Zea mays: one gene and its partners. The main gene of each other region encodes a partner of the protein of the gene in region 4 in a complex. Links are inferred from orthologs where the notes say so. Each region holds a gene or a part of one and is shown on either strand. Other genes may lie near its edges.

Region 1 (3,999 bases), about 250 Mb from region 4:
TTAAAAGTACCTGGCAAATATCTGAAACTTGGTATACTATTCATGTCACACTAATTTTATCAATCACAACCAATTCACCTTCTGTCTTCTATGTGAACAGGAAATCTCTACACCTAGCAATCTTCCTCAAAAGAGATAGGAAAATGCATCAAAATGCTTGGCGAATCTCTGAAACTGAGTCAACCACTTAACAGCAACTCAATAGCTATTCATATGCCCCGATTTTTGCAGCTTGCTCTAGGTGAATAAATTTGCTCAGGTGTCAGATGATCTGAACTTACTGTAGCATTATGCAGAAAACCAATCTCCGTTTTTGAAATATTGTATGTCGACTCTTAAGGAACTTGCAGCTCATATTGGTGAGGTGGTTGTTAATAAGTGCTTATCTGCTGCTGCTAAATCTGGCATGTTTGTCAGCTTGAGGACAAGCGCAAAACTCTGGCAGAGATCTGTAAGGTTACTGCTCTCACAGAAGTCACCAAATTCCCCTTTCTCAACCTCTCCTAAATCTGATCGGGACAAGACGAACGTTCATGGATTCAACCTTAATGAGGCATCACGTGCTATGAATTCTGATAGAACAGTCATCACAGCGAAACCAACTTTTGGTGATCGATTGTCGAACAAATCAAATACAGTTCCATCTCCCAGCACCAGCAGGCAGCTTAACCAGGGGGGGGGGGGGGGGGGGGGGGGGGGGGGGGGGGGGGGGCTGCTACTGCAACCGTTCCATCATATTCAAGGCTTCGTGGGCAGCAGTCGGGCTTAGATCTTGTAGCTGCTCTCAAGGGGATTGGGAAAAAGGAGTGCTGGGGATTGTGGTGATGGCCGGGATAAAGAAGGGAAGTGAATAGCTGGTGCTCTGTAGATGTATGTCTGTAGTAGAGTTAGTTTGGCCACCTCTATGGCTCATCATTCTGTATTTCTTTTGCCTCGTGCCAGGAGCTGTGAATGTAGCTTCTCCTATTTGAGCGCTGGTATGGACAGTCTATCCAGGCAAGAAGAAGGTAACTGATTGTTCCTTGAAACGATCAAGTTTATGCCAGCCAGATCGACACTTTTAGCTGAGGTCACAGTAATATCCAATTCCACGATCTTCCTTTCCGAACAAATCATTCATGATCTTCTTCGAAAGTAATGCTAGAGGAGACAGAACTCGCCCATGTTTGCCACCAGACACCTCGCTTTGAAAGTAACAAAGCTGGAGGGGCTCGAGCGCAAATGCCCCTGGAACCGGATAACACACCGCGATAGCGAAGCAGAGGTCTTCCAAAACCCAACGCGGCAAACGGCTTCCTCACCCCCCCTCCCCTCGCCATGGCCGTCCCCACCTCCACCTCCTCCCCGCTCCCCCTCCTCTTCCTCCATCGCTGCACCGCAAACTCTAGCCCCTCGGTTCTCTCCTTCCCGTCCTCCCTCCGCGGCGCGTCCCTCCGCTCCCGGGCCGCGGCCGCACCGCCCGCAGAGACCCTCTCTGACGACGGCATCCCCGACGCGCCACCGGTACGTGACTGAACTGATATTGCCGTGTCTTTTCGCACACGCAGAGTCCAAAACCTGCGAATTTCATGATGGCGTGTACCGCTTGGTTATGGGGGTTACAATTACATGGCGACATTGGTTCAGTTGGCACACTCGTTAGACCTTGTTCATTCGGTGACTAAAATTGTTAACCTCGCGCTTTCAGGAAGGGGCAGGAACGGGAATTCCGTTGCCATCGTCGATTGGGGATGATGGGGAGCAGGTACCTTCCATAGCAGTTAAAAATTTCCCAGATTATTATGTTACCGAATCTTTTGTTCTGATATTGTTGCTTCCTTGATCGAATGAACTGTGAAAAGTTATAACCATAAACCATACAACATGTTTCTCTTTTATTGCTGCATAGCAGTGCACATTTTACTTGTGATTGTTTAATCACAATAAATGGAGAGCACGATGTGCTCTGGGTATTTGTGTAAATGGCATTTAGAAATCGTTCAGGACGCAATGCAATGATGCTAGACAATATCAGTCAGCACATTCGTTTAAGCCGTTAATCTTAGTGTAAACTGTTCTTAACGTGAGTGTGACTTGGACTTCAAAAATGTATGTTTTTGTAGAAGTCCATATCACGTTAGACAGTTTAGCATCCTTAATGCTTAAGCCATGCATAGTTACCAGCACATGATTGAAGAGACTATGTGGGAAATTCATTTCGTTTGTCCTTTAAATCATTCCTATCAGACTAGAATGAGGATATCTGAGGGTCTATGGTGGTTTAGCTTTCCAGATTCTACTTAGCAGTTGAAAGCTTGCTGGATCAAACTTTCAAAGTTTTCTGCCTATTAATGCTCTGTTCCTCCTTGGAATTATTTGACGTACTTGAAAAATGGTGGACGGCGTGGGAGAGGGGGAGGGGCAGCATAGGGAGAGGGAGGGAGGGAGCAATAACTCTATTCTTGCTTAGACTGAAATAGTTATTTGCCCCTATATTTAATTATTTATAGTTCCTATAGGACTTGTATCCCAAGCATCATTCTTATAGATTTGTAATCTTGTTTCCTAACAAACCAATCTTCTTTCTTAAACAAACTCTATCATTATTTTCTAAACAAGCTATATTTTATTTATTCCAAGCTTATTGAAGATTACCTTTGAGTTTCCATCTATTCCGGATTCTCCAGTGCGGGAGGGATTCTAGGGGCAGTAGAGGCCGCGGCTCATCAGGGCCTGGTGTTGGGCCTCAGTTGGGCCACTAGGCCCGACATGGTGGCCCATATTTAGGCCTGTGAGGCTGTGACATACTGACTCATGACTGAAGCCTAGTATCATTTGGCCATCGAAAGAAAGCAAAAAAAAAAAAGACAGCAGTTGTCTCAAGCGCTCAGCAACCATGGACCATGAATTCCTTATTGTCTTTACCTCGCTGTAATTGCGCCCACTGTGGTAGTCAGTGTGTTCCCCTGAACAGTTAGCAATATCTAACTGTGTTGTTGTGTTTACAATTTGACAAGTTATGCAATTCCTCTTGCTTGTCTCCCTAGGAACCTCCATGGTACTGTCATTGAACTGTTGGAGTCGAGTTGAGATGCTTCCTTCATTCTAAAATATATAATGTCAATGTGTGTGCTCAGCCTTTTAAACTTGTATAAACTTATTTACTTTTCTCACATGGAAATGGTCAAATTGTAAACAGGACAAAGGTGTGTTTTGAAGATCCATGTCCAAAATGGCTATTAAGTAGTAAAATTAAATAGAGCTAACACTGTATAATCTGTCATTGAGGCTACTCCTTGTAGTTTTATGTTTACTTTGCTTCATGCTTCTGCAGTTCTGCTTGTTAAGCATGTCCATCGTAAATATTTGTCTGCAGTTGTTGTATGGAAGTGCTGAAAACGAAATTTTTACAAGGCCTTGTGCACAGTTGGGATCCTCCCATAGTGATTCTTATTTTCTTTAGATGTATCACAAGAGGAAATGGTGATAATAAACAGATACGGAGAGATACTTGTTGGTGTTTTGCATGAAGCTGGATCTAAGGGCCTTGTAGTGTTGTGTCACAGATTTAGATCATCAAAGGAAGGTAGAATTATGTTAAGTCTCGCTGATGCATTAACATCAGAAAATGTCAGCATATGTGTTTTGATTATTCTGGTAATGGAGAAAGCGAAGGTACTTTTGGATAAGGTTACTATAACGAAGTGGACGTTTTATGTGATGCGATCCTGCATTTCAAAAACACAAACGTGACACCCATGCTATTGCTGGCCACAGTAAAGGAGAAAATGTGGTTATCCTCTATACATCCATGTATCACGAATTCACGGTATATCTAAAGCTATTAACCTTTCTGGAAGGTTTAAGCTGGAACGTAGAATTGGAGATCATTCCGTAAATGATTACATGGAAAGGATTAATCAGCATGGTTTCATTGATGTGGAAGACAAAATAGGAGTATCATCTACCGTGTGACCAGACAAAGTCTGATGGATGGTCTTAAGACAGGCACTCTGCAAT
Region 2 (3,519 bases), about 32 Mb from region 4:
AGAAGAGAGAAGATGTGTGACGGGAGAAGAAGAGAGGTGGAAAAATTAGAAAGAATTGGACTGTAATCGATGGTAGTGGTCGATAACTTTTCTCAACTCTATCAAACTTATGTTGTTGGAGCTTCCATTGAGAAGCTTCACCAAGAGAGTGGATCTAGCCTTTAGATCCCCCATTTTGGTAAATATAAATTTAGTGGATCTAGATCGTTTGACAAAGTTTTTCAAAAATTTAAATTATTTTTAGTGAATCTCAAATAAACTCATACTGTTGTTTCATTTGATATGGCTCCTTTTAGAAGGGCTCTAGCTCCTTATTTTATTGTCAGTAGAGTACCTTCTATGAAGCTGAAGTTTTTGTAAGTAAAAAAATGGGCTATTTAAATTTGTACCCTTAGTTTTGCTTCATTCCTTATTTTTAACCTTGGTCGTGTTTTTTCTTAGTTTTGCCCTACTACTCTATAACACTAGAAGGACAAAACTAAGTAAAAAAACACGACTAAGGGTAAAAATGAGAACACCAGCAAAACTTGGAGCAAAAGCTTAAAAAATCCAAAAATAAAAGCCATATTTCAGCATCGTGTCTCTTTTATAAAAAATGACTTTGACTTTTTGAGCTCTACAAGGAGTTGTTTTCGGCTATTGGCCCCTTTAAGAAGTCGTGAGAAAGTAGAGTCGAAGTCCTGTCAAATTGACCTACAATAGAATGTCTTCAGACCTTCACACAAAGTTTTTCGGTGTTCAAATTCACTAGATCTTTTATCTTGGTCCTGTTTGTTTCGGATTCTAGCAGCTTCTGGCCACCAAAAGCTGCTGCGGATTGCCAAACGCTCAGCTTTTCAGCCAGCTTCTATAAAATTCGTTGGGACAAAAACCATCCAAAATCAATATAAACACATAATCGGTTAAGTCGTTGTAATAGTATGAATTCATCACTTTCTAGATCCTGAGTCCTATGAACAACTTTATTTTCCTCCACACGTAATCGTAATGATACTCAGATTCTCCCCACAGCCAGATTCTCCTTACAGCCAGATTTTCAGAAAAGCTGGTCAGAAAAAAACTGAACCAAACAGGCCCCTTATATCTCGTATACAGAGAAGATTAGGTCTACTCTATATTTAGTCAATTCAACTGTTCGAGATTTTTTTAAAAAAATATAGGTCCGCTGTTGATATTGTATTTTAGCTGCCTAAATCTTTGGACAGCAAACTTAGATAATCAATTAGTATAATTAAAAGAATAATTTATACTTTTTCTATGGGTAAATAAAGGAAAACATACATGCTGCGTATATGACAACAAAAGAATCATACACATAAAACATAGAAGAAATGCATAACTACATATAGTTGAAATACACACAAAGTTAACGTTGTAAACAATTTTGGTTTAACTGGCAACCCGGCCGTTTTTCCACCAATATGAAAATCCGTGCAAACTCCAAACAGGGCGTGGCGTCCTATCCTTATCTATCGAGTGGACGCGACGCCAACAGCGTCAGCGCCTCCTCCCGCTCTCCGGCTCCTGTCCTGCTCGCGCTCGTCGCCCCCCTGCCGCTCGGCTCCCCTTGGCCCCTCCAATGCCGCCACCCATGGCACTGCTGCCGCTCTCCTCCGCATCCGCGTCCGCCGCGCTGCCGCCCTTCCGCTCCTGCCCGCCCGCTGCGATGCTGCTTCGCCTCCCCTCCCCCGCCCCCTCCCATTTCGCCCGCCCCCGCGCGGTCTCCACTGGGTACGCGGCGTCCTTCTACGGCGGCTCGGCGATGTCCGCGGCCGGCGGCGCGGACGAGGAGGAGGAGGTCGGCTACGAGTCGGGGTTCGGCCCGGGGCTAGGGCTGGGCGGCGGCGGCCTCGGGATGTCGGCCGCGGAAGCCGCGCTGGCGCTGGAGGAGCGCGAGATGCCGCCCTGCCCACCCGGCCTCCGCCAGTACGAGACCATGGTCGTGCTCCGCCCCGACATGTCCGAGGAGGAGCGCCTCGCCTTCATCCAGCGCTACGAGGAGGTAATTTGCGTTTGCCTCCGCTCCGTTTGGCTGCCACTATAGCTAACTGGATGGATGGAGCAGCGTAACACGGGCACGGCTCGATCGGCTCACCTCTGCCTCTTGCATATCTCGCTACCATTTGCTGTTCCGATGGCAGAGAGAGCAGACAGATGATAATTTCTGGACAGGCTGGTATCATACTTGAGCAATGCGAGACGAATGTTAAAAGGGTTCCGAGTGTTTCGAATTTCATCCAATAAATATTAGGATTTCTAAACGTATAAAAGTGGATCCGCCATAGTTAATTGCCATCCTATCCTGAATTCACCATGTATGTTAGGCACTGTTTCTGTTAGAAACTCACTCTAGTCTAGAGCTAATCAGTTTGTTCACATTGAAGTCAGATGCTGCGGCGGTAATATATAGAGACAAGAAACCGTTTCGGATTAAAGACAGGTGAACAGCTTGAATATATAGCAGTAGAGGTTTGAACACCCCCTACCTAATAACTCAGCTAATTTGTGAGTTAACAATCAGTCCATTAGCTGGTTTAACCTAGCTAACAATTTGTTAGTTCCAAACGGGCCCTTAATCGCTGTTATCAGTCACATGCCATCTGCGTACCATTCCAATCCAGCTCAGCTTGGTGTTTTCCTGTGCTGCAGCTGCTCGTCGCCGGCGGCGCCATGTACGTGGAGGTCTTCAACCGCGGTGTCATCCCGCTGGCATACAGCATCAGGAAGAGGAACAGCCGCACCGGGCTGCCGTCCACCTACTACGACGGCATCTACCTCCTCATCACCTACTTCACCAAGCCGGAGTCCATGGACGCCCTGCAGCTTAAGCTCAACGCCGACGACGACGTCATCCGCTCCACCAGCTTCAAGGTCCGCCAGCGGAAGGCCGTCTAGTTAGACGGGTTGCCTCCTCCGCCTTCAGGCCCTGAACACTGTTTTGTTCACATACCATACTACAAGAAATCTGCTGTACAAGAATCCACCTTTGCCATGATTGTTGAGTTTTTTTTTTTTGAATATGTTTCTTGTCTTGTGGTTCTCGAAAATGGACGTCCGGCCATCGTTCGCCAGAGAAACACCGCGCCTCCTAAAACCATCATGTTTCATCAGGTACCAAAAATAAAGGTCCGTAGCTAGGTAGCGTCGAGCCTGAGCGCGCTCCGGGGATGGAGAACAGTCCAAACCCATCGTAAATCTGCAACAGTACAAGCATATACAGTGCAATTTGTGGAAGAGATTCGTACAAGTACAACTTTCATTTGATTTCAGAGGCGTTTAAATACTCCACACTTCATTCCCATTTAGCGTCAAGTGCGTTGGTGTTTCCAAATATTCATTTGATGAAAGAGATGTTCTCGGCATATAACTAAACAGTACGACACTAGGACATGACATGATGCAGAACGCAGATTGGCTTTCGGATTTCTCGAGCAGGAACAGGAAACTTCGGAAGATAAGACACAAAGCACAACACAAACCAGAACAGACGCCAGCAATCCAAAATCTGTCAGCCATGGA
Region 3 (2,129 bases), on a different chromosome or scaffold from region 4:
TGGGTATTCCTTTCTTAAACTATGAATCTATTCTTTTGGAAAAAATAAGTCTCTTCACTTAAATTTTGAAACTTGGAAGTTATTACCCCAGAAAAACCTAATCCTTTGAATCTTTGGTATCCTTCAAATCTTCAGTATCCTTCGAGTCTTCGGTACGCTTCGAATCCTTATGGGGAAGTCTATAAATTATACGACCTTTGCTGGAATCATAACGACTTATTTCAATTTTGACCCTATCCCCCATCAGTATTCGTATAGAACTAGACCGGATCTTTCCTGAAATATAGCCCAGGATGATGGTGTCATTCTCTAGGCGAACGCGGAACATTCCGTTGGGTAGGGCTTCCGTAACTAAACCTTCGAAAGTGACTTTTGCTTCTCTCGGGTTTTTTTTTTCTCTACTATTTTTTTTTTCTGTCATATATTTTTCTCCTATTTTTCTATTTTTATTTTCAAAATAGGAAGTTCGAGATAGAATTTGGGTACTATAGGTGGGGCCATTACCATATATAACATAAAACTTCTCCCCCAATTCTGTTTAGTCGAGCTTCTCGATCTGTCATTATACCTCGAGAAGTAGAAAGAATAGCAATTCCCATTCCGCCCAAAACCTTAGGAATTCCTTGATAGTTGGCATAAATTCGTAAGCCAGGTCGGCTGATACGCTTTAAAAAGGTTCTAGTTCTATATATTCCCTTTCTAGTCTTTCTCCTTTGATGTCGCAAAGTTGAAACCAAGAAATATCTGTTACTTTCCTGATGTTTCCGAACACTTTCAATAAAACCCTCTCGTAGAAGTATTTTAACAATGTTTTCGGTAATATTTGTGGATACTACTCGAACAGTTCCTTTTTTATTCATGTCTGCGTTTCTTATAGAGGTTAGTAAATCAGCAATAGTGTCCTTGCCCATAAGACTCTAATTCTAGGTTCCTCCTAATTTTTCTATAATCAACATGTTTTCCCTTTTCTTTAAATTTAGGATTTTAAAGCATATACGTGAGACAAAATCTACTAATTTTTTCTTTGATCTATATCTCGTCTACTAGTATTTATAATACTTCAGGAGCTAATGAAACTATTTTAGTCAAATTCAATTCTCTTAATTCTTCGGCAACCGCGCCAAAAACTCGAGTTCCTTTTGGATTTCCTTTTTGATCAATGATAACTGCTGCATTGTCATCATAGCGTATTATTATACCGTCGTCGCCTTTGAATTCTTTACGTGTACGTACAATTACAGCTCGAATTACTTCGGATCTTTCTAGAGGCATTTGGGGCACTGCGTCTTTGATTACAGCAATAATAACATCACCAATACGAGCATATCGCTGATTACCAGCGGCTCCTATGACTCGAATACACATCAATTTTCGAGCTCCACTGTTATCTGCTACATTTAAAAGGGTCTGAGGTTGAATCATATTATTTGGATTTCCATTTGTTATTTCAATGCAAAAGGATGAAAGAAATATTGTCTTTCCAGAAAGAAAAACCAGGGGTTTTTTATCTTCAATATTCCTTTTTGGGGTTCTATATCTCTAATCGAAGAAATTGACTTCGTATGGGCATTTTACTGGCAGCTATAGAGATAGCTGCTCTAGCTACAGTTTCGGATACTCCGCTCATTTCATAAAGTATTCGACCTGGTTTAACAACGGCTACCCAATATTCGGGGGATCCCTTTCCCGAGCCCATACGTGTTTCTGTGGGTCTTATTGTAACCGGTTTGTCGGGAAATATACGCACCCATATTTTTCCACCACGACGTGCATATCGTGTCATTGCTCTTCGTCCTGCTTCTATCTGTCTCGCGGTGATCCAAGCGGGTTCAAGTACTTGAAGAGCATATCTACCAAAACAAATATGATTGCCTCGGCAGGATTTTCCCTTCATTCTTCCTCTATGTTGTTTACGAAATCTAGTTCTTTTGGGGTTATAGTCGATGGTTCCTTCTTAGTTCCATCTCTACTACAAAACTGGACATGAGAGTTTCTTCTCATCCAGCTCCTCGCGAATGAAATGAGAAGCGTGCGAATGTCATTTCTCTAATTCCATAATATTCAAAAATATTATAGATAGATACACATCAATATATAATAGAAAAAGTTAGGTTTTTTTGATTTTGACT
Region 4 (3,390 bases):
CACAAAAATAACTCCATCGGGTCACCCATATACACTGGCGGGTATGGATTTACCCTCATACCCTTACTCATGTGGGTATGGGTCACCCATCGGGTCACCCGTACCCACAAAAGCTAAACATCTATCAAAATATTATATGATAAAAATGTCAAGTATATCCATCTAAATACCATTACAAAATTTCTAGTATCATTTAACCATCCATTCAACACACCAAAGATAATTGGATAAAGTAGTAACACTAGGATAATACTACATAGCACATTACATGGTCATTAAATTGTCGTTAAGCCTTCTATGACATTATGGCCTAAAAGGTTGTTAAATAGTAAAAAAGATGGATGACTAAAGTCAAAGTTCATACTTGGGCTAAGTTTATATTGGGTATTTTATACCCACGGGTTAACGGGTATGGGTGAAGGCGGAACGTTCTAATACCCGTTTACCCATTGGGTGAAGATTTTTGCCCAATAACAGACCCACGGGTAGAATATTTAGCCACATACATACCCTAATGGAGTAAATACCCATCGGGTATCGGGTCGCGGGTACCCATTGCCATCTCTAAGGGAGAGAGAGTTATCCAGCAATATGAACTATGGATTTTGATGGTGTGTTAAGTCTAGATATAATTTGTTTGGAATATTTAGGGCTAGTTTGGAAACTTAAATCACCTCTGAGGTTCTTAGGGATTGAGGGGAATCCTCGGGAATCAAGGAGAAGATTTAAGTTTCTAAACTAGCCCTTAGGGCTAGTCAATAGAGGTTATGTACTTATGTGTGTATATGATTTGCCTGGTGGGTTTTGTAAATTTTAAACTGATGCATTATATATATACTCATCTTAAATAATATTCCCTCTGTACCAAAATAAAATTCGTTGTAGACTAATGCTGGATTCATCAAAGATCTGAAGGGTTTACTTTATATATGTGTTGTTTTAGTTCTCAGTGTTTATGTCTATATTTAAATGAATAAAGATAAATCTAGACACTTTTAAAATACATACATTAAATATTGTATGAATATAAGATAAATTTTAATTTAGAAGAGAGGAAATACTATTTTAGAACGAACGAGTAGAAAAAAGTTATATTTTCTATTGGGCCAACGAGTCCAAAACACACATAGGGAAAGGCCACTAGGTCATCGAAGGTTGCCTACGCATACGCAACCTTATCATCATCCGCCCTTGGGTTTTCTATCCGATAGACCGGGGACGCACAGGCCTCTCGCCCTCCGCGCGGCTCCACAGGAGAGCAAAAATGGCGACCCTCTCCATGGTCTCCGTCCCCATCGCACCCTCCTCCTTGTCCCTTTCCACCCGGGGCCGCAGCTCCTCCGCATCCTTCCCCGCTAAGGTTAGTGCCGCCTTCTGCTATACCCCTATACCCCCCTGCGTCCAGGGAGCTTGTCTGATTGGGGTGTCTTGTTTTTCTAACCCTGTACGGCCTTGTTGGAATGGGGTGTAAATTAGTTTTTTAGTTTCACTCTAATCTATATCAATACATATTGATTGTGCTGAATACGAGAGTATCCAAAAACAAGGCCTACTTGGGATGGTCGTGTCAGGAGCGTTGGAAGGATGGTCTTCTGTGAACTGCTAATTTTCAATACATTGGTAGGAAATGGCGCGTGTTGGTTCATGCATATGAATTTTCTAGCGCATTGTCAGTAATGCTAGTGTTTCATGGTACAGCAGTATGACTGATTCTAGTAGCAAAGAAAAGGATGTTTCTTTAGACTTTTGATGTGGATCTGAAATTCTGAACCTGATTATAGGAGCTGTTGTTTATTATCGCTGTTGCATTGTGCGCACAGCCTGAATACGACACAAACATGAACTTCGATACATCATTAATTTATCCCCATCTGAATGACCCTTCATACCCAGGCTCATGTTGGTGGTTTATTTTGCGGTTTTTGATTGTGCTGTATGTTGGGTGGCCTGACAGAAGGGAGGAATCGGTCACGGTGGCTTGCGGATCGAGTGCATCCGTATTGGTGGTGTTGAGATTCCAAACCACAAGAGGGTGGAGTACTCGCTGCAGTACATACATGGCATTGGACGCTCACGCTCACGCCAGATCCTCCTGGACCTCAATTTCGATAACAAGATCACCAAGGACCTCTCCGAGGAGGAGGTCATCACCCTCCGTAAGGAGGTTGGCAAGTACATGATTGAGGGAGACCTTGTAACGTCCCTGATCCCTTTGTCGATTATTCGCTGCAGTTATTTGATTCAGTAGTTCATGATGATTAACGACTTGTATGGTTACCATAGTTACTTAGTTAACATATCAATGATTCCTTGAAAGCTTTGAAGTTCATTCTGCAGGTCTGCGTATTTAATTTCACTTCCTTAGTCATAGATGATTCCTGACTGTCCTAACTGTTTAGTTTTATATCGATGTTGGACTCCAAGGGAGTGAAAACGCTGAGAGCTGGCACACTGCTGTTTGGTATGCTTTACAGAAACGTTTCAACCGTGTGGCGATTGAGAGGCTGAAGGAGATTAGGTGCTACAAGGGCATCCGGCACAAGCTTGGACTCCCAGTTCGTGGCCAGAGGACAAAGAACAACTGCCGGACACTTAAGGGAAAGAGGGCTTCAGTTGCCAAGAAGAAGTCACCCGCCTCCCAGGATGAATAAATCGTATTGCCATGTATTGAAGTTCTCTCTCTCTCTCTCTCTCTCTCTCTCTCTCTCTCTCTGTGTGTGTGTGTGTGTGTGTGTGTGTGTGTAGCGCTACTACTGCTGGGTGTTTTGTTTCGAGCTTTTATGCTGCCATTGACAAATCATGGGGTAGCCATCAGCTGCTGCAGATTTTGTAGCAATGACATACTAGCTCATATGGGTCGGTTCTATAAATGAAGATCAAATTCTTGTTTACATCCATTTGTATTCCTCTGTCCCAACCTATGCTCGATGCAAGGAGTCCAGACTGCTCCTGACGAATTACTATTTACCAGATCCAGTGTTCTGGGGATTATTCACCTGCCACTGGTATACCTGTTTTCATCCCTGCACGAGATGATCATGTGGCGAAGAGTTATGATTCGAGATCTCTCCCCTTAACAAATGTAGTTGAAAAAACAAGTTTTGGCTACCCGTCGATGGTTATGTTTTTTTTCTTGATAAGGACGATGGTTAAATTGTGTTTGGTTTCAAATAAAGATGATTTGAATCACTTGATTGAAGCCATTAAGGTTTCCTGGCATTCATCAGCCCCCAACTTGCAGAGCACGGATGACGGATGACTGTGAATTTGTGATCCCGTGGTGTGCTATTTGCCGAAGCTTGCACCGGTGCACGGACACCACCACCTGCTCCCCCATCCGGCGGCACCCGGGCCGCCGCGCCCGCGCGCTCTATCCACCACTCAAATAAA

Evidence for each region. The genes of interacting proteins can lie anywhere in the genome.
Region 1: 30S ribosomal protein S13, chloroplastic-like (region 4) and 30S ribosomal protein S10, chloroplastic share a complex: the UniProt entries of both Arabidopsis thaliana proteins name them as parts of the 30S ribosomal subunit. The link is inferred for Zea mays from reciprocal best matches to the Arabidopsis thaliana genes EMB3137 and AT3G13120.
Region 2: 30S ribosomal protein S13, chloroplastic-like (region 4) and 30S ribosomal protein S6, chloroplastic-like share a complex: the UniProt entries of both Arabidopsis thaliana proteins name them as parts of the 30S ribosomal subunit. The link is inferred for Zea mays from reciprocal best matches to the Arabidopsis thaliana genes EMB3137 and AT1G64510.
Region 3: 30S ribosomal protein S13, chloroplastic-like (region 4) and rps8 share a complex: the UniProt entries of both Arabidopsis thaliana proteins name them as parts of the 30S ribosomal subunit. The link is inferred for Zea mays from reciprocal best matches to the Arabidopsis thaliana genes EMB3137 and rps8.

The regions. Positions count from the first base shown.
Region 1 is NC_050096.1:24,109,414-24,113,412, forward strand, and holds the start of 30S ribosomal protein S10, chloroplastic, read left to right. Parts: upstream 1-1,199; 5' UTR 1,200-1,317; coding exon 1,318-1,503; intron 1,504-1,687; coding exon 1,688-1,744; intron 1,745-1,750; exon of another isoform or gene 1,751-3,999.
Region 2 is NC_050096.1:303,987,573-303,991,091, forward strand, and holds 30S ribosomal protein S6, chloroplastic-like, read left to right. Parts: upstream 1-1,464; 5' UTR 1,465-1,579; coding exon 1,580-2,002; intron 2,003-2,649; coding exon 2,650-2,895; 3' UTR 2,896-3,019; downstream 3,020-3,519. UniProt on the Arabidopsis thaliana protein: Binds together with bS18 to 16S ribosomal RNA.
Region 3 is NC_001666.2:77,988-80,116, forward strand, and holds rps8 (ribosomal protein S8), read right to left. Parts: upstream 912-2,129; coding exon 501-911; downstream 1-500. Other genes in the region: infA (translation initiation factor 1), read right to left, coding at 98-421; rpl14 (ribosomal protein L14), read right to left, coding at 1,051-1,422; rpl16 (ribosomal protein L16), read right to left, coding at 1,532-1,933. UniProt on the Arabidopsis thaliana protein: One of the primary rRNA binding proteins, it binds directly to 16S rRNA central domain where it helps coordinate assembly of the platform of the 30S subunit.
Region 4 is NC_050096.1:271,763,189-271,766,578, forward strand, and holds 30S ribosomal protein S13, chloroplastic-like, read left to right. Parts: upstream 1-1,147; 5' UTR 1,148-1,264; coding exon 1,265-1,360; intron 1,361-1,954; coding exon 1,955-2,194; intron 2,195-2,474; coding exon 2,475-2,651; 3' UTR 2,652-2,890; downstream 2,891-3,390. UniProt on the Arabidopsis thaliana protein: Located at the top of the head of the 30S subunit, it contacts several helices of the 16S rRNA.